4 linked regions of the Cricetulus griseus genome follow. The protein of the gene in region 1 interacts with the protein of each later gene in a pairwise test. Links are inferred from orthologs where the notes say so. Each region holds a gene or a part of one and is shown on either strand. Other genes may lie near its edges.

What was found.
Region 2: the proteins of Nck2 (region 1) and Lrriq3 interact in binary tests that used the Homo sapiens proteins (3 or more experiments, as listed by UniProt). The two-hybrid records come from large-scale screens. The link is inferred for Cricetulus griseus from reciprocal best matches to the Homo sapiens genes NCK2 and LRRIQ3.
Region 3: the proteins of Nck2 (region 1) and Hoxc4 interact in binary tests that used the Homo sapiens proteins (3 or more experiments, as listed by UniProt). The two-hybrid records come from large-scale screens. The link is inferred for Cricetulus griseus from reciprocal best matches to the Homo sapiens genes NCK2 and HOXC4.
Region 4: the proteins of Nck2 (region 1) and Efs interact in a two-hybrid assay, tested with the Homo sapiens proteins (2 studies listed by BioGRID and IntAct). The two-hybrid records come from large-scale screens. The link is inferred for Cricetulus griseus from reciprocal best matches to the Homo sapiens genes NCK2 and EFS.

The regions. Positions count from the first base shown.
Region 1 is NW_023276807.1:5,069,475-5,074,187, forward strand, and holds the start of Nck2 (cytoplasmic protein NCK2), read right to left. Parts: upstream 3,109-4,713; 5' UTR 2,973-3,108; exon of another isoform or gene 2,962-2,972; intron 2,204-2,961; exon of another isoform or gene 2,017-2,203; intron 1-2,016. UniProt on the Homo sapiens protein: Adapter protein which associates with tyrosine-phosphorylated growth factor receptors or their cellular substrates. Maintains low levels of EIF2S1 phosphorylation by promoting its dephosphorylation by PP1.
Region 2 is NW_023276806.1:4,341,354-4,346,113, reverse strand, and holds the start of Lrriq3 (leucine-rich repeat and IQ domain-containing protein 3), read left to right. Parts: upstream 1-1,768; 5' UTR 1,769-1,904; intron 1,905-2,257; exon of another isoform or gene 2,258-2,397; intron 2,398-4,760. Other genes in the region: Fpgt (fucose-1-phosphate guanylyltransferase), read right to left, coding at 1,588-1,768.
Region 3 is NC_048595.1:399,400,545-399,405,491, reverse strand, and holds the start of Hoxc4 (homeobox protein Hox-C4), read right to left. Parts: upstream 2,993-4,947; 5' UTR 2,873-2,992; intron 2,437-2,872; exon of another isoform or gene 2,275-2,436; intron 1-2,274. UniProt on the Homo sapiens protein: Sequence-specific transcription factor which is part of a developmental regulatory system that provides cells with specific positional identities on the anterior-posterior axis.
Region 4 is NW_023276807.1:210,120,464-210,125,318, forward strand, and holds the start of Efs (embryonal Fyn-associated substrate), read right to left. Parts: upstream 2,993-4,855; 5' UTR 2,024-2,992; coding exon 2,006-2,023; intron 1,505-2,005; exon of another isoform or gene 1,372-1,504; intron 1-1,371. UniProt on the Homo sapiens protein: Docking protein which plays a central coordinating role for tyrosine-kinase-based signaling related to cell adhesion. May serve as an activator of SRC and a downstream effector. Interacts with the SH3 domain of FYN and with CRK, SRC, and YES.

The sequences.
Region 1 (4,713 bases):
GTGTGCCGTACAGAGCAACCCAGCCTGGCCTTGCCAGAGCAGATTAAGCTAATTCAAGAGATCAAATAAAGAACTCAGGGTCACTATGCAATCAGTGAGTCTCCGGGTGTTTTCAAGGGGTCATCTAGTCTGCTCCAGCAAGAAAGATGACGGGAGATTTAACAAGGATGAAAGCACATTTCCCCAACACCTGGGAGCCGCTGTTTGTTGGGAATGTTCAGTCCCTCAAAGTACATGACAGAGGTCAGGGCTATGACAGGGTCAAACAGAACAGGGAGGAAGAAGACTCAAGAAGGAGCATGTAGGGAATGCAAAACTGAGAGCCTGGAATCGGACTACGGGGAGCTGGAAACCACCTTGTATCTGCTCTGCCCATTTTAAAGGGGCCAGTCTCTCCACAGGTGGGCTGATCAACTCTCAAGCAGCCAGGGCTCATTCAGCAACTCCCCACCCAGGAGTCGCTGCACATCTAAGAGGCTGAGAGCAAGGCAGGTGGTGGGGCTGTAACTCCAAGTTTTACGGCCGCACAAAGTTCTCAATTTTAGCCTCAGACCACTGGGACCTTTCTTTCTTCCATCAAAACTACATTAACCGACTAGAATGTGAGAAAGTTTAAGGTAGGACTGTCCCTTGTGGTCATTTAGGAACAATCCCCAAGGTCTAAAACCTTAACTAACTGAAGTGCACTTTCTCCTTGTGTCCACTGGCTGCCTTCGCTATATTAAACACGAATGTCTGTTTCTAAATCTCTGTATCTATAAACACTTGGAAAGTGAATGGAGGGGAGTGCCCACGATGTTTTGATAAAGTGGTGACCTTTACACTAGAAAACCACTGTTGATAACTATACCCAAAACCCAGGCTTGAAACACATGCAAAATTATTTTCATTCCTCCTCAAAACCCCTGCAGAAAAGCCTGCAATGGGTGAGGAGCAGCAAAGGAGTCTCCAGGCCATGCCCACTGGCCAATGGGCTGTTTCATTTGGGGTCAACCAAGGAGCAGGCCTGGGCACCTCCAACCCAAACTGGGACCTGTTCATCCCAGACACAGACTCAAACTTGGCAGGATTAGCCTTTAAACCTCTTAGCAAAATAAGGAAAAGTAAATAAGGGACAAACTGCCGACCTGAACAGGCTAGGGTGGCAGGGCCCACGCTATTTAGCGCCCAGCTGTGTCCCCAAGCTATTCACAATACTACTGTAAGTCACGTCTGCTATCCATTAACCACCACCCAGAGTCCCGCGCACACCTTCCGGGAGAATCGTTACAGTGTATAAATTACAGCGTTTTGCAAATCAAACCCCTCCACACAATGCCAAGCTAACAGTGCTCAAAAGGGAGGTGCCGTCGGGGCATTAAAAGTCCCACATCAAATTCTTGCAAAAACCACTTGCTTAAATCGCCCTGAACAAACCGAAGGGGCAAGGCGGCTGAGAGAAACTTTGGCTCTGGAGGTTTAAGCCTTGGGAATGAGGGGCAGGGCACACGGACTGGAACCTGGCATAAAAGCGCCCTGCACCGAGGCACGGACCTCTTGTATGAGACGTGACAGTAGCTTTGTGCCGGATCACTTATAGTTCTAAATACAGTAAGTTCTCCCCGGCCATCGCAGCCCCTAGCTTCCTAGCGCCGGGGCCCTTAGATCCCAGGCTATTCTTCCCAGGCACGCGCGCCCGGCGACCGGGCCACGGCTCGGTCCCACGCCCGCCCGCCCGCAGGCCAGGGCTGCTTGTGCTCCCGGGGGCTCTCGGTCCTGGTCCCCGGTGTCAGCCCGAGGAGGGCGCCCCACCCCCACGCCAGCCCAAGGCTGGGGAAGGCGAGGGCTCGCAGAAAGGTGTGTTTCCGAGGTGCGGGTACCCGGGGACGCCCAGGCCGCGGCGGGGCCGAGGGCACCAGCGGGGCGCGCAGGGGGGACGCGCTCCCTGCTCCTTCCCGGGCGGCCCCTGCCCGCCGGCCCCTCTCTCCCAACTCTACCGACCCAACCAAGTTTGCAGCCCCCCGCCCGTCGCCTTACCTCTCTATACACCGCACGCCGAGGCCGGAGGGCAGAGGCGCGGGTCCCGGGGCGGCGGCCGCGCTGCGCCCGCCCAAATGCCGCTCTTTGTCTACGCCGCTCCCTCCTCCCGCCGCCGGGCGGACGCTGCCGGCCCGGGCGGACCCCGCCGGCCGGGAGCCCCGAGCCCTGCCCGTTGCCGAGCCCTCCCCGCCGCCGCCGCCGCCGCCCGCTCGGCCGCGCGCCCCGGCCTGCGATCCGCGGCGGCGACCCTCCCGCGCAGCGCCCGCCTCCGCGCGCTCCCCGCCCGCCCGCGCTCCTCCCCGGCTGTCGTGACGCCGCCCAGGGGCCGGCCCAGCTCGGCGCGCGCCGGGCGGGGGACCCACCTGGGAGTCCCGGCCGGGCCCGGGAAAAGCGCCGCCTGCGGGCTTTAGGCAGCAACCCGCTCTCGATCGGAGTTGGGGGGCGGGCAGGGGAACGAGGAAAGAATGCAGTGCTACTTCCAGCCCGCTAGTCCCACCGGGTGGTCTCCGCACCCCCGCTGTGCCTTGGATTCTTACAGCGACCACCCCATCACCCCCCCTCCCCGAAAGCATTCCCACGGCACTCTCGGCCAAGCTGGCCTGGTGTCCGTCAGAAAAGTGACTTACATAAAAATGTCACTTCCTCCCAGTAATTGCTTGTGGGCATTTTCTTTATTTATTTGCCTTGCATCTATTTACTTTCCCAACCAGACACTTTTTTTACTCCATCCTCTCAGGCGGGACCACTTCCTAGGGGGAGGAGAGGAAACCCGACCTCCGCTGCCTCCCGGGCGCCCAGGCCAGCTCTATGGAGCCTGGGATTTCTCATTTAGCACAGGAGAAGGCTGGGAAGGCGCCCTCGCTCAACCAGCCTTGAGTAGTGGCTAACCTGTAAGCAAATTTAGAAAGCTAGAACCCTAGAACAAGAGGAAGGAACACATACGCCTTACACACCGGAATCCAGATGTTTCTTCTCCAAGCTCCTTCTCTCATGGTTCTCCAAAGGAAGCCTTAATATTCAAATGAATTCAGTTTCTGGTTGGGTAGCTCGCATTTATGTTAATGAGATTCTACCCTGGCCCTTGGCTCCTCCTTATCAAGGCAGAAACAATTCACCCTAAGTGGCCAGTCAGCTGCCTCCCTCCCTAAAGGAAGTTTCCAGCCATGGGTAACCTGAGGAAGCTTGGCTTTGTAATCATAGCACGATTGTAGGCTTCCTGAACTGTGTCACCTTACACGTGTCTTTCACAACCTTTCTCAACTTTATCACGTGAGATGTTTGCCTGCTTCCCATGTAAAGTATCTGGCACATAGCCCGACCAAAAAGCATTAGGTACAAAATCAGCATATCCGACATCCCCTTCCAGTCGGAGATGCTATCTCCTTTCATTCTTTTGTGCAGACCTCATCCTGCTAATATCTAGCTTTACAATAAGGAAAGCAGAACGGTAATCAATAGTTTAACCGTATTTAAAATCCATTCACTCTAAATAAGGTAGGACAATACAGACCCAGCTTTTTTAGCCTTTTCTTTGAATAGTGGCCTCAGACTGCTTCTCTTACTATTAAATCCCTAGGGAGGTTTGAAGAAGAATGGCTCCCATAGGCTCATATGGTTAATCCCCAATTGGTGAACTATTTGGATTAGGAGGTGTGTCCTTGTGGGTGGCGGTGTGTCACTGGGGGTGGGCTTTGAGGTTTCAAAAGCTAGGCCAGGCCCAGTGTGTCTCTCCACTGCATGCCTGCCTGCTTGCTGACATGCTCCCTGCCTTAATGATAATGGACTATGTCTCTGAAATTATAAGTAAGCCCCCAATCAAATGCATATATATATATATATATATATATATATATAGAGAGAGAGAGAGAGAGAGAGAGAGAGAGAGAGAGAGAGAGTCTCTTTACAGCAAGTCCCCAGGTCCCCAGTGGCATCTTGTATCTAAATTCAATAGCTCCTTCTCAAACCCTAGCCCATCTAGTTTTCCTGCAGACAGGTGACACTTTTGCTGTTGTCTGAAGTCCAGCATCTTGTTGTAAGGTCTTTCGTTCCCATTCTTACTTTTCTGGCCAGCCCGTCTCTGTCTGTGAGTAGTTGTCTTCCAAGCATCAGACAACAGTATTCCCAAAAAGGGTGTGGTGTTTTCATTGTGAGATGGATGTTTTCTGTATGTATGTGTGTGCTAGTGTTTATGGAGACAAGATGGCTTTTGTCTGGTATTCTCCCTGATGACTCTCACTTGAACCTATAGCTCTCTGATTTGGCTACTGCAACTAACCAGACTGCTGGGGGAATCCCCTGCCTCTACTTCCTGAGGGTTGCATATCCACCTGGCATTCACGTGGATATTGGGAACACAAACTCTGATCCTCATGTTTACCTGGCAAGTGCTTTATCCCTAAGCCATCCCCCCCCAAGCCCCTGAAATATGAAAGGTCTTTCATGTGTCTCTGTCCCAGATGACTATATTCTTAAAGAATTCCAGTTTATCTGCCTTATCTCAAGGCTAGTCCACTCTGCTAGGCTACCTAATGTCCTTCCTAAGCCAGCTCTTTATCCCACACAGTTTCTGCCATGGCCTAAAGTAGTGATTCTCAAACTTCCTAAGGTTGTGACCGTTTAATACAGTTCTTCACGTTGTGATAACCCCCAACTGTAAAAGTATTTTTGTCGCTACAACATAAATGTAATTTTGCT
Region 2 (4,760 bases), on another chromosome or scaffold:
AAACAGCAATAATTTTTCTTATTATTATTAGAATTCCTTATTACAAGCTTGGCTATTCCAGATGAGAGGAGGACAAAAGCATAATCATTACAAGCTAACTATATAAGATAATGCAAAAACACAGTAACAAAGCCCACAACAGTCTTTAACCTCAAAATCAAGCAAGTTTCAGGAATCAGATATCTCATGAGAAATATCAACCCTACACTCCTTCCTTCCACATTTCTGTACAGATATTTTAGTGATATTGTTTAACTTTTCCTCTCTTCAGTTTTAAATTTCTTTGTGGTGCTGGGGACAAAACACAGAGCCCTATGCATGTCAGGAGAGCAAGTGCCCCACCACTGAGCTATAGTCCCTGTCCTCTCTATTTTTTTTAGAGTACCTTCCTAGCTGACAGGCTAGCCCAGGACTGTTCCTGTAACCCAGGCAGGGCTTGAACCTTGACTCTGCTGCCTCGGCTTCCCAAGTAGATGGCAGTACAATCTGTAGCACCAGGCTCAGTTCTTAATATTTTTATTGACGTATGAGGACCCAACTAAACTTACATAGGCCAACGGATACCACACAAAACTTAGGATCAAATTCCCCAATAAACTCACTAAATGACATATTTCGCTGGCAAACAGTGGGTCCCTTTCCTTTACCAACAAAAATATTAATAGGGTTTTAAAAAAGGGGCTATAGCTGGCCTGAGCATGACAATCATGGTCCTGGCAGGCCCTTTGCCTCTTCCTTGCTAAAAATCATTAGATTACATTCCCAAAGCTGGCCACCAGGGTATGTCTACTCCCTCATTTGGCCAGTGCATCTCCCTGAGGCTATCAAAAGCTGCAATCAAAAGTCCCTTTTTGGCTAACCTAATTAACATAAAAAACCCTCATTCTAATACTGAGTTTCCTCATTTTCCTTTATAAACTGCCACTGGCCTATGGGCCCGGTCTGTTTCCTCTCTGTTCTAGGAGGGACAGTCCTTAGTCTCTTCAGGACAAATATCCCTTCGCAATCTCCCTCGTTCCTCTTCCTTGTCTTCCCCTTTGCCTTTTATTCCCTGCCCTCTGTCCCTCTGGGACAAAGAAATCTCCTTTGTGCTCAGAACTTGTGTCTTGGGGTGTCCTGAGCAGACACCAGTTCAAAGAGAAGGAGGGGAGGGAGGAGAGGAGGAGAGAGAGGGGAGGGGAAGGAGTTAGCCGTCACCTAGGATTTAATAATTCCCCACACTTTCTGATTTACCAATACAAATTCCCACATTGCAGACAGTCACAGACACCAGCTTCGTCAGGCACCCGTCTGGTTTTCCCTTTAGAGGGCAAACTTAAATTGGAGGCACTCTGAAGTCCTAGCTGCCTTCCCGCTGAGTTGAAAGGGGGACAAGCTGGAGAGTTTCGCAGGGTCAGGGGGCAACGGTTAATAACCCCCTTGCTGCTCCCCTGCTGACACCAAGCTGGAGCGAGCCCAGAGCAGCGAGCGTTGGGGCGCACGGGGCGGACCGGAAGCGGCGGCGGGCGAGGGGTCCGCGGGCAAGAGATGCCCTCCGGGCGGGCACGGGGTGGGTGGGGGTGAGGAACTCAGTTCCGCCCAGGGTACCTCTCATCTCGGAAAAGCGCCGCAGCTTCCGCAGGCTCGCTTCGCGCAGAGACGCCATGGTCCCCGCTTCCGGGAGCCCGCGCCACGCCCCCGTCCCCGCCCTCTGCCGCGCGGTTACGTCACCGCGGCCAGCGCCCGTGCGCATGCGCGTCTCTCGGGGTAACGTTCTGCGCTCGCACATGAGCCGCTCTCCCTCGGGGTGCGGGGCTTGGAGGGGCCTGCGCCGTGGGCTTCCGCCTCTCCACGCCTGACAGCCCGCGGCGCGCCCGAGGGGAGCCGCCCGTAGACCACGGTGGAACCATCATCCGGATGCCCAGGTGACCCCGCTCGCCCAGAGCTCGCACAGAGTTCCCCTTCCCGTCACCACGAGGCCGGGCCACACCCTGTCCGGCCCGGGTGGGATGCTGGATGGAGGAGCAGACCACGCTGCCGCCGTCACTCCGCCGACCTCGAAGTCAGGGTCTTGAACCTGTGTCAGCATCAGGGCTCGCAGTTGTGTCCCCTGGCTTCTCAGAGAGATGCCACCACAGGTGTAGATGAGGGCAGGAAGTCAGCCTGGCCGAACATGGTCCCGTTGGCTGATCATATGTCTTTCTCTCCTAGGGATCCTGGTTTGCAAACAGTTCTGCAGAGAGTGGTCTCTCCATTCTTACACATAGCATAGAGAAAATGACATTTAAGGAAGACGTTTCCATCGCAAACCCGGAAATCCTGTCATCCCCTACAACTTGGCTTCAGAAGTCTCTCTGCATGAAAACCTTGCTCAGAATTCTGCAAAGCAATTTCCTATGAACTTAGCTAAGATTCTAAGTAAGCTTAGCTTCTTTTTTTTTAATTTAATAACCTGACCTTAGCATTTAATGCTATGAGGAGGCACCATGACCATGGCAACTCTTATAAAGGAAACACTTAATTGGAGCTGGCTTATAGTTCCGAGATTTAGTCCATAGTCCTCGTGGCAGGAAGGCCAGTGGCACACAAGAACACATGGTGCTGGAGAAGGAGCCCATTCAACCATCTTGATCCACAAGTAGCAGGAAGAGACTGCCCCACAGGGCTGCCTAGAGCTTCTGAGTCCTTAAAGCCCACCCTCAGTAGCACACTCCAAGGCCACACCTCCTAATAGTGCCACTCCCTATGAGCCTATGGGGGCCATTTCTTTCTATCCATTACAGTAAGGCAATTTAAAGATAACATACAGGAGGACTTCATGCCTGCCTTCCCTGTCCATGCTGGGATTTGCTCCATGTGGAGCTTGTGCAGTTGTTGTCACATCTGCTGTGAGTTCACAAGTGCAGCTGTCCTGGTGTACCTAGAGCTTACCCTCTTCAGACTTCCCTTCCACTATAATCGCTGAGCCTTGGGAGGAAATGGTGTAGCATAGATTATCAATAGAGAAAGCCGAGCATTGTACATTTTTAATTCTCTACACATTGACCAGTTGAGACTCTTTGCGGTGAGTCTAGTGATGTATCTCTAGGAGTTAGTTTAATGCTGTGTCTGTTTAGCTGATTATAGGCTCTCAAGCAAAGCCTTATGACCTGTCTGGCACAGGTTCTTGGTGTCAGGTATGGGCTCTCTCTTAAGGAGGGTGACTTACATCCTGAAATTCAAATCAGAAAGCTGTTGAATACCCCCTGCGAAATTCTTTCCTCCATTGCACCGGGAGGTGTATTTTCCAGCTCAGTTATTATAACTTGTAAAAATCCTACCCCTGGCTGAGAAGCTATGGACAATTTGTAGGTGCTGGGAGAGGGATTGTCAATTTTCTTTAAGACTGTGACCTTTAAGAGGTTCACCATGTTCAGTGGATGACCTCACACATAATGAACTTCAACAAAAAAAGGGAGATAAATCTGTTTGAATAAATACACTGCTGAAAGTAAGTTTCAAAAGAAAAGATGGAACAATCAGTATGATAAATAATTTGAAATAACAGCTTTATATACACAGTGATGTAGTTCTATAAAATTACAAACATCTATGTGTATTATTTGTTTACTAATGCAGTGAATCATATAGTCACTTTCAATTGGATAGAGAGAATCTTGATACTGTATGTGGATGGATGCTGTTTGTAAACTCTTGACCGATGGCTAGGGCTTCTTATTGGCTAGCTCTGTCTTAATTATTAACCCATTTCTATAAATCTATGTATTTCCATGTGGTATTGGCGTACTGGAGAATGTTTGGACCTGCTTTTCCTTTGGTGGCTACGTGGCATCCCTGCTTTTTCCAGAATCTCCTAGTCTCCTAGTCCCCCTATCTTCCTGCCCCTATTGGCCAGTGTTTTGTTCATCAACCAATAAGAGAAACATATATACAAAAGGAAATCCCCCATCACCCATATATTTGAATACTTGGTCCCAAGATGGTGGAACTTTTTGGGAAAATTAGGAGATGTGACCTTTTTGGAAGATGTGTGTCACTTGTGACAGGTTTTCATACACCATTCCCAGTGTGCCTTCTCTGTCTCCTTCTTGAAGATCAAGAGGGAAGCCCTCAGCCATACATTTCTCACCATCATGAACTCTAACCCTGAAGATATAAGTCCAGTTAAACACTTACAGGAGTAATAGGCCAACACAAAATGGATTCCATGATTTTTTTGTTGTTTATTTGTTTTGTGTATTCATATGTGCTTTTCTTTGGTGTTTTTTTTTTTGTGTGTGTGTGTGTGTGTGTGTGTGTGTGTGTGTGTGTGTGTGTGTGTTTAAGAGACAAGATGAAGTTAGAGAAGGTGGTTGGGGAAGAGTTGGGGGATGGGAAAGAATATTGTAACGATTAGTCTTTACTCCATCTGCCCAAGCCCAGTTGCCACTACATGGGCACTTTTCCACCAGCCACCCGAGTTCCGCTCAAGTTATGCCCACCATGTTAGGGCCCCAAATAATACACAGAGAATTATATTAGGTACAAATGCTGCTTGGCCAAAGACTAGGATTTCTCATTTGCTAGCTCAGTCTTATTTATCAACCATAATCATAAGACTTATCTTATGGAGGACGCCTCGCACTGGCCTCCTCTTGCCAGGATCACATGGTGGCTCTGTAGAGAAGAGAGCAGAGAGCAGGAGAGGAAGAGCAAGAGGATAGCTTCCTTCTTGTCCCTGCTTATATATGAGTCTGCCTGCTATGTCACTTTCTGCCTGTATCATAAGACTTCTTTTTAAT
Region 3 (4,947 bases), on another chromosome or scaffold:
GAGGTCCTCCCCAGTGATGAGTCTTTGTATTTGGTCTTGCCTCCCACCTACTGAAGGCTCTCTACTTTCTACTTTGCTTGGTCCCAGTTTTATTCTTTATGTTTTCTGACTACCTTTTACCAGCATCCAAATGCTCCCTGCATGCTGCCCCACACCCCACCTCCTTTCTAACTCTCGATCTGGTTTCTCTTTCGGAAACATGTTTCAGTACAAAGCGCTTCCCTTCTGACACCACTGAAGAAAAATATGTGTCCATTGTTGTGAGAGGCCTTATTGTGCCTGGATTACCATACTGACCGTTGGCTAACCCATATTCCTCCCCTCCCCAGTAACAAGATGCTGCGTGAGGTGCCCTAGTGGTTCCACAGATTCTGGGCTGCAGTAAAAATTCCACCTCATACTCTCTGGATTTTCCAAGGGGCAAAATTAATTAATTAATTAAATTAATGGGTGAAACAATTCAGGATTTAACTGTAAAAAGAAAGAAAATAAGGCTCACTCTTTCCCACTCTCTGAAGTACAGGTTTTTTTTTTTTAATGTATGTGCTTTGTTGTTTTAGGGATTAAAAATTACAACATGCTTCTTTCCTTTTCCTCAAATAAATTGAGTTTTAGATGGTATGCAATCAGGCAATTCATTTCATTTTGATTTTTTTCTCCCCCGGGCAACTGGAAAATCCCAAACTAAAACAAGATTCTTATACTATTTCTCCCCTTATGCATCCGTGTGTGTGTGTGTGTGTGTGTGTGTGTGTGTGTGTGTACATAGGTACGTGTATATTTTTGTCCTTTCCTAAAGCCAGCAGGCAGGACTAATGCATGAAAAAGAATATGCAAATGCTTAATTGATTTTTCCCTTAAATCTCTTGTCAGTAAAAGTAATGAATTGGTCTAAAATGATCTTAATAACCTGGACATGTCACTAGAAAATACTCAACCTTTTTCCCCCTCCTGGAATCGCTTATAGTATAAAAAGAGAGAGAGGAAAGAAAAGGAAAAGGCAATCATGGAATGTTAATTTGCCCCCCTTTAAAATATTAAAGATGAATTTCTCTTGTTTGTTTGGAGACCATAGGCTCGGTCCTCTTGTGAATCTCCCCCGCCTTGCCTTCCTTGGAATTCAATTTTCCTCAAATCTCGTTTAAAGTGGCTTTTTAAAAAGTGGCTGCATTTTAATATTGGTTAGACAGAGTGACCTGCATTTCACCTCGGGTGTTTGACTTGTTCCAATAGGTCACTGCCATGGGGTTATTGATGGGGAAACTCCATTGAAATTTGTCTCTTCGCAAATGGCCTTTAGATCTTCCAGCGAGTTCAATAACTAGTTATAATGTGGAAGGGGAAAAATGAAGGCCCTGGGCTAACGAATTTGATGCTTCATTTTTATGCTGGAGAAATTGTTAGTTAGAGCTTGGGTTTCCCCCACCCTCTGTTCATTCCAGCTTTGGTGACCCCCTCTCCCATTCAAAGCTGCTGGATTATATCTCCCATTAAGACTTGTGTTGAGGTATCCCTTTCTCTCTGATGCAAACCTTACTTATGAATATTGTTGTAAACTTACGGATGTTGGAAGCTTGCTTTGTTGGAGGTTTGAAACCTGAACTTTTTTGTTAAGGGAACTTTCAAAGGAGACTAAATATGTCTTGAAAAGATCTAGAGACTAGGCTGGCCATAGTTTAGAGAGGGCTCCGTGACTCCCACAGTTGAGGAAATTGGAAACTCTTTTGAGGCATTGATAGGGTATTTCAAGGTGCTGTGATGTGTTCCTGGCCTCAGAGCTTCCGGCCATATGCGAGATTAGGCACCCAGGACCAAGACAAGAAGACATGCAAAGACTAAGAGGGAATATTTCTTGATGGGCAAGGGAATCCTGTGTCTCCTCTAAGGTCACAGCAGGACTGTGAGGAATTGGTTGGGTAATTGCTCAAAGAACTAGAAAGTTGCTCCTCCAGGAAAGACTAAAGACACCAGGGCTAGAGGACTGGAGAAGGCAGGAGGGACGAAGGGGTGAAGACTATAAGGATTGCTTTTTTTTTTTTTTTTTTTTTTCCCTGGAGGCTCTGGAGTGGAAGAAGGAAGGTCACAGTAAAGATAGGGAAGGCTTGTTTTATTCTTCTCAACCACTGCCAAGTTGGGGAATGCCTGGCACCCCAGAGATCCTCTATGAGAAGGGGTTGCACTGAACAGTTCTGGGGTCCTTGACCCAGCCACAGCAGATCGTTACCATTATTAACCTCAATAATAACCTAATAACCGTGCATCTTCTTTATACAGAACGGAGCTCCTCGGCGCCTTATTCTCTCCTCTATGTGCCTTTCCTTCTCTCACCCTGCTCAAAGAGGCCCAGTTTGCTCAGCCCAAAATCTCCCCTGTAATAAACCCTGTGGCCTCAAGCCTCCTTCCAAGCCTCAGTCTGTCACCGGAGTCATCCTAAAGGTATGCCTTGGATCCTGGGCTGGGGGGAAACAAGGCCAGAGAGGATGCGTAAACTACCTCCCTGCTTCAGCTTAAACACAAAGGAGTTACGTGCCACCCCCGGTTCTCTGTCAAACTTGCCTAGGCATATCCGTGGTACCACTGGGATCAGGGAGCTGCCTCAACTGCTACTTAATCCCATAAAAAAAAAAACAAAAACAGGAAAGCCAGGGAAAGGGCTGTGGCAGTTGCCAGATCGGCCTGGGAGGGGTCTGAGGCTGCTCTTCCTAACCCAGCTGGGACCAGCAGCAAGGAGCTCTGAACTTCCCGCGGCGGTGGGGCGCGCCGGGCCGGCAGGCCAGTCATACCCGCCTGCTCTCCACTTCGGGCCCCCAGCACCTAGACCACAGAACCCTGGCTCCCCGGCCCAAGCCTCATCCCTCCCTGTTTTAATTACGTGATTGATTTTTCTCTAGGGCTGCTTCGGGACGACTCTGTCTCCGAGTGTTTAAATCTTTCGGCTCCCTTTTTGTATTCCCGAGTCCTCCCGAGATGTGCCAGCGGCAGGCGCGTTTCCGGGTCCCTGGGCCCGCCTCGCTTTACACTCCAAGGAAATGGCCAGGCCACACCGTCCTGGGCGCGCCCGCCGAGGCTGCGAAGACGTGATCCTGCCCTCCCGCCTGAGAGTCACTTTGTGCTGCGCGACCCTCCCCATTTGAGCTGTTCCCTGGAGCCTGGCCTGAGAGCCCGGCTCTGGGTTTGTGTTTCTATCTACCCCCAAGAAAGTGTGAAAAAGTCTGAGCTGATCCTGGAGGAAGCAGCATGCGGCTCGGACTCGCAGCCCTTTGCCTAGTGAACACCTGGGCTCAGCGCTGGCGTGCGAACAGCATCCCAGGGAAGCAAATCCGACTACAAACGACTCCAGGCGCCCTTGGGACCGTAGGCCCTGAGGTCCCGGCTGCGGACCCCAACATGCATCAGGCGATGGGGTCCTATTGTTATCCCACAGCCAGAAGGCCACTCTACTTGGCCGCCCCAGAAGCAGGAAGCGTCCTTTCAGGGTGGTTTCAGTCACCCAAGCCCCAGGACCGCGGTCCAGCCTCTTCCACTGCAGGCGCTGCAGGTGAGGCAAGGAAGGGGAAGGGGTAGGGGTGTTAAATTAGAGAGGAGTGCGTTAGGGTCGGGATGGAAGTGGAGGATTAGAGTCAAGAACCCTGCCTCTTCAGAGGAGGAGGCCGACTGACCTCTTGCTCCCTTTTCCCATCCGGAAGGAGAAATTTTCGACCTCCCCAAACTGCTGGGCTTCCGCTCAATCTCTTTATTTACAACTAATAAACACTTCTCTGCTTCCTCTCCCATAGTCATGTACATTCTTTGATGAGTCACTAATAGCAGGAGGTTTTGTTTTTTGTCTTTTTTTTTTTTTTGATGCTATGTAATTTTTCCACAGAGAGGAGGGGGTCAGGACGCCTCTCATGTGGAAGTTCAGCGAATCTCGGGTTGGTCACAATCCTTTTCCTGCCCTCCTGCTCTACGAAGCCGCAGTTCCTCACTTCCCATCCCTTCTGCACAGTAACGTCGCCTGGTAAATAAGAGTCCGTCTGCTTGGCTATTAGGATTCTGGAGACGTTGGCATCTGTAGCAATCATTAGTCAAAGCCGCAGAAGCCAAAGCAGCCGAGGAGTTGGACAGAAAAAATCTTGGAAATGATATACAGGAGCTGAGGAGGCATCAATCCCGCCGATAAGAGCGCGGCTGCCGCGAGCAGGCGGCCAGCTTAATTGGGCCCTGGGCACCAAGAACAACGCGGGAGGGGAGCTTAGGGTTGTACAGTGACCTGGCATCATTTGGGCACCTACAAAAATATTTAGGACTTAAACACATTTCCTCCCAAGTTTAAAAAATTGTGTGTGTGTGTGTGTGTGTGTGTGTGTGTGTGTGTGTGTGTGTGTGCGCGCGCGCGCGTGCGCGCGCGCCTACAAGCCCCTCACCCCTATGAGCAGAGGCACTGCACTGGATTTCTTCTGGGCCACTTCTCGAGTGGTACTGAAATTGGGAAGCTAGAGCTGGGCTCTTAGGTCCCAGCTACAGCCTAGAAGGAGGCTATGGTCCCTATGGAGGGTTTTCACAAGTCGCATAACTAAGCTGGACTAGATTTGGAGCTAATCTTGGTGGTAATCGACAAAATCATTTGTTTTACATTTACTTTACATCACATTCAAGTGATACTGGATCCCCATTCCCACTCACTAGATAGTTTTGTAGGTCAGAAGATGCTTGCAGTGGGACAGACAGTTGTAGAAAGTTTTTTTGGGGGGGGAAATCTATGCCCTTACTCCTAGATGCTTGTGAGGACTATCTCTAAACATATGTTCAAATATTTGAAGTTTGCAGAAAAAATGGTAATATTCTACAAATATCTCCATATACATAGCTTCAATATGTAGCTATTTTATGGTCTGAGAACCTTGAATAAATCTAGATAAAAAATTTCAAAACAGAAACTGAGTCATACATGCACAACTCTGTCTA
Region 4 (4,855 bases), about 210 Mb from region 1:
AAAAACGTCATTATCATCAAGCAAACACATAAATCTCCATCTGCAGCAGGGGAAGAAGGATGCTCAGCTCACTCACAGGCATGCTGGTCCTCTGCATCCCGTTTTGTGCTAGAAGGCAAGTCATCCAGCCCTTTCACTCTTTTCTTTTGCTCCCAAACAACCACCTATCCTTTCTTCCTTCCTCAAGGTGCTGGGGTCAAATTCATGTCCTTTTGCATGTCAAGCAAATGCTCCATCACTAAGCTACATGCCTGGTCCTCACCACACTATTTCTGATTATACTGCAGCTTCTAAGAGATCTAGTCTACAAAAAGAAACACACTAAACAGATAACACAGATTGCTGGTTGGCTCTGTGCTCTCCATCCCTTCCATGTGTGCGCTCATGAATGTGGAGGCCAGAGATTAATGGTGAGTATCTTCCTTAATCACGCTCCACTTTATTTATTTTAAGAGTCTTCCTTCAGGGCTCACAAATTTGGCTAGACTAGCTGGTCGACAAGTCTCTGGGATCCTCTTACCTCTGCCTCCCCAGTGCTGGGATTACAGGCAGGCACTCCAGCACATGGCTTTTTCTGTGGGTGCTAGGGATCAAGCTCAGGTCCTTAGTTCATGCAGAAATCACTTTACCAACTGAGCCACGTCCCCTACACCTCTCCTAATTGAAAACTAGAAATTAGTATTCTGGACCTAGCCAGAGATTAAAGGCAAAGTTCTAAGTGCAGGTGGACTTGGGGTTGAGTCCCTTGCTTGCTTGGATGCCTCAAAGTGGTTTTAACATCACTGTACTGTAGTTTTCCTCCTGTGTTGAATTTCTGTCTATAGCCAAATACCTATTTTTGGATGATAACATGTCCTCATAAAGTTGAGAGCTTCATGAGACAATGTATCAAAAGATCATGGCAAAGTTTAGCACAGGGCCAGGTGTGTAAAGCAAATTGTAAATATTACTATTGTTATGAGCCTGTGAGTTTCATTAGCATAAATACCTCTCCCCCATAAACCTTCTGGACTTCAAAGGTGACTGTAACTCCAGGATCCTGACAGCAGCTCTGGCACTCCCAAAGGCACCCTGCCACCGGAGGACCAAAGGGTTTTGTCTAAGGAATGAAAATTGGAGCCATCCTCGAGGGGAATGGGAGGGTGCCCTGCCGCGCCATGCTTTTCTTTTACTTTCCTAGTTCCTCTCCCCACAGCCAGAGTGCAGGAAAGCAGGTGGTGGCTGGCCTTCCTGCAGGGCTGCCCAAGTGTGAGGAGGAATGGGTTTGTTATACTGACTCCAAAGCAGAGCAGAGGTGGGGCTGTATGGCTCCTCCCTGTATTAGGTTTGAATTCTAGCCAATGGGGCCCATGCTTTGCAGTTTGCCTAAACCCAGGCCAGAGCTGTTGAGAGAATGATGGATAATGGGTGTGATCACCCCTACTCTATCTCCTCCTTGGGGCCTAGCTGACTTGTGAGGGAATGGCTGACTTATTCGGATGGCAGTGTGCCACTGCATTTTCTGGTAGGCCTCCTCCCTCAATCCCAACATGCTAACTGTCCCTTCTCTTTGTCCCCAGTTACCAGAAACTGGCCCCAGGCAAGCTGATACCATCTCCCCTCCTCTATATTATTTTCCCCGGCCTGTTCATAGGCTCGGTTTTATCCAACACTCTAGAGTTGGGCTTCCTTGGCCGTCCATTTTCCGTGGGCTGCATGGTCTTTGCCAGAAAACTCCTTTTACTTACCTCCCAATCATAGCCCCTGCCAACCACCAATGTCCATCTGTTCCCACCCAGAAAAGAGCAGATAGGACTGGGTTTACACCCCCACCCCCTCCATCTATCCACAGTCACTATAAAGAAAGAGAATAGGGAGGGGGAGGAGGGGCCAACTGAGGCCCAGAAGGCAAAGGGAGAGGGAGAAAGGAAACAAAAGAGAGGACACAGCTCCTGGGAGAAGAGAGAATGGGTAGAGCAGGTTGGAGGTCTCTGCCTGGCAAGCCTCCTCTCTTTGGTGGACTCACCGACGTGGCAATGGCCATGGCTCTAGACTCCAGCGTCGCCTGCTTCAGACCAGGCTCAGTTTCGCTGACTTCAGCGATGGCTGCCCCTCACCATGGTTCCCGGCCTCCAAGCCAGAAGGTCACCCCAAGCTGTGGCTCTTGAGGAGTTGCCTCCCCCAAAGTTGGAGGAAGAGAAAGAAAACCCACAAAACTTTCCAAATGGGAGGCAGCTTGGCCAGACAGGAGGAGGAGTGGGGCGGGCCTGGGCGTCGCTGCGGGACCTCATCCAAAGGGCGCGCTCTAAACTGTCCCCAGGGTCTCTCGGGGGCCACTAGGCCCCCACGGCTGTGGCCTTAGACTGCAGAGGCCTCCTGGACACACATGGGCCCAAAGCTCACGTCCCCGGCCAGCGAGGCGAGGAGGCAGGAGCTGCTGCTGCTTTCGACGCCTCTCCAGGCAGCTCAGGCTAGCCCCGAGGGCTGGGAGAAGCTGCCCGAGTGGTTGGGCTGGATGAACGACTCCTGGGGCCAACCCTCCCCCAGCGGCGCAGAGCGGTGCTCCCAGGGCTGTGGTCGCGGCAGCCGGGGCACTGCGGCGGGACGACCCGCGGGGAAGGAGGAGGAGGAAAAGCGAGAACTGAACTGCGTGTCTCTAAAGTCGCTCAAGTCAGCCAGCGCAAAGGCAGGCCGGCGCCCAAGGCCTCAGAGCGCGTGGCGCCCAGCCGGGCTCTCCCGGCCACACTCCTTCTCAGCACTGCCGGGTTTCCGAGGTGGCCGTCCGGCACTCTCGGTCTCGGCGCCCGTGGGCGCCCGGTCCTGGCTCACGCTCCCCGAACCCGGCCCCCGGCGCGCCCCCAAAGCTTAGGGAAGCTCCTGGTGTCTTGGGGAACGAAGAAAAAGGCCACAGAGCAAAGGGAGCAGTGAAGGGGAGGAGCAATCCTGTGGGCTCGCCTGGGGCCGGGGTGCGGACACTGAGGGCTGGAAGAGGTCCGGGGTCGCGCGTGGCACCGCTCACCCTTTCCCTCCCCTGCCCGGGCTCCCGCTCCCCCTCAGCAAGCTCTCTCTCTCCTCCCCTCGGGCCCACTCCTCTCGCGAGGGGTTCAGTCCAGGGGATTAAGAGAAGAGGGGGAAGGGGGGAGGGGAAGCTGCGGAGAAAGGGGACGATCCTTTCCGAGGCGGTGTTGAGTTTCAGCTCCCGACCCTCGGGCCACAAACTGCACGCCCCAGCCCGGCCCTCTTCCCCGCACCTTCTTCCTCCGGACCAGCGCGGCCGACCGGCGGGTGGTCTGCACTGCGCGCTCGGGGGAGCTCGGCTCTGCCCGCCACGCCCCCGCTCTCCCCCGCCAGCCCCACGCCTCTCCCTCTCTCCCTTTCATTAGCCCCACATCTGTCTTTCCCGAGGGAGGGAACGCGCTGGCTTCCGCCGCGCCTCCGGGGTCCAGGCGTTTTCACCGCGCTGACTTTGCAGGGGGCGGCGGGAGCGATCCGGGGAGGTCCAGCCGGGCACTGACTTGGAGTCTGGTGTTGAACAAAGATCCTGGCCCTTGAGAGAGGACGTGAATCCTGAGCCCCAGATCGCAGGCTGGCCGGTTGCGCTGCATTTTTAGCCTCGTTTGCCAGTCTGGGCCTGTTTTCTCTTCTTCAGGTTGGCTCTCGCTGCTCCTGGAGCAGTTGGGGTGGAGACCGTGGGCAGAAGAGGGCAGAACTCTTTCAGAGGGCCTGGAATCGGGAGTTTCACTGAACTCGAGCTCTTGGCCTTCTAAACCCCTCCTGCCGGCCTTCCCCCCCAGTCACCGCTCTTCTTCACTGGCCCTTACTTTGAGGAGATACACATTAGAGCTTCTGAGAGGGTTGAGAGAGACCGGTCTTCTTCCACTGGGGGAGGGAGGCGTTCCCGGTATTTGGAAAGCAAGCTGATAACAGGTGGAAAGCTGTAGTGTGTTTCCAGTGTTTACGTTTAGCAAACGAACGCTTAAAGCACACACCAGACAGCGAGCTTAGTCGTAACCTCTTTAGGAGAGAACATCTGAAATCTTATTTAAAGACCTCTGTGAACTAGTGGCTTTGAGACCACTCTTCCTCCATCACATCACAGTGCTCCATAGGCTTACCTACGGGCATTTCCCAGAATCACCTGTGGGGAGAGTGTTTGCTCCACATCCTTCCCCTCCTCACCCCCTGGAACCCTCTGCAGAGTGGAGAAGAGTTGGCTACTTAGAGGATGACTCAGTGAGAGTTTCTGGACGAACCCAGGAAGAATGGTAATGGCTCTGGGCTCCGCTGTAGGGCTGGAGTGCAGACCTCATGCACTGGCTGGAAACCTTGACATACTCAGACTCCATTACAAGAAAAGGAACTTTAGCCTGGCGTTGGTGGCTCACGCCTTTAATCCCAGCATTCGGGAGGCAGAGGCAGGCGGATCTCTGTGAGTTCCAGGGCAGCCTGGTTTCCAGAGCAAGTGCCAGGATAGACTCCAAAGCTACATAGAGAAACTCTGTCTCAAAACCGCCCCCCAAACAAAACAAGACACTTTAAAGTGTCTAAATACATCTGAAGTGAGAGTTCTATCCCAGGTCCAGTTTGGCTAGAGGTGGTCCCTACCCTCCGGACGCCAGTCCTGGGGGAGATGATCTGGCTTTGGCTGCCTGATACTGCTGGGGAGTGACAGGGTATGACACCTACCCAGGATCACCAGTACAAAATGAAAGTGGGCAGGACACGATGGTCCCCAGACATAAATGCGACAAGCACAGAAAACTAGATGCAGGGAAGAAGCTAAGCAGAAAGGGTGTGAATGGTGCAGGCAATGTGGCGTTTTGAGCGATAGACGGGGATCTCAGAGCCTCAGGAATGACTATAGGTAAGGGGCAGC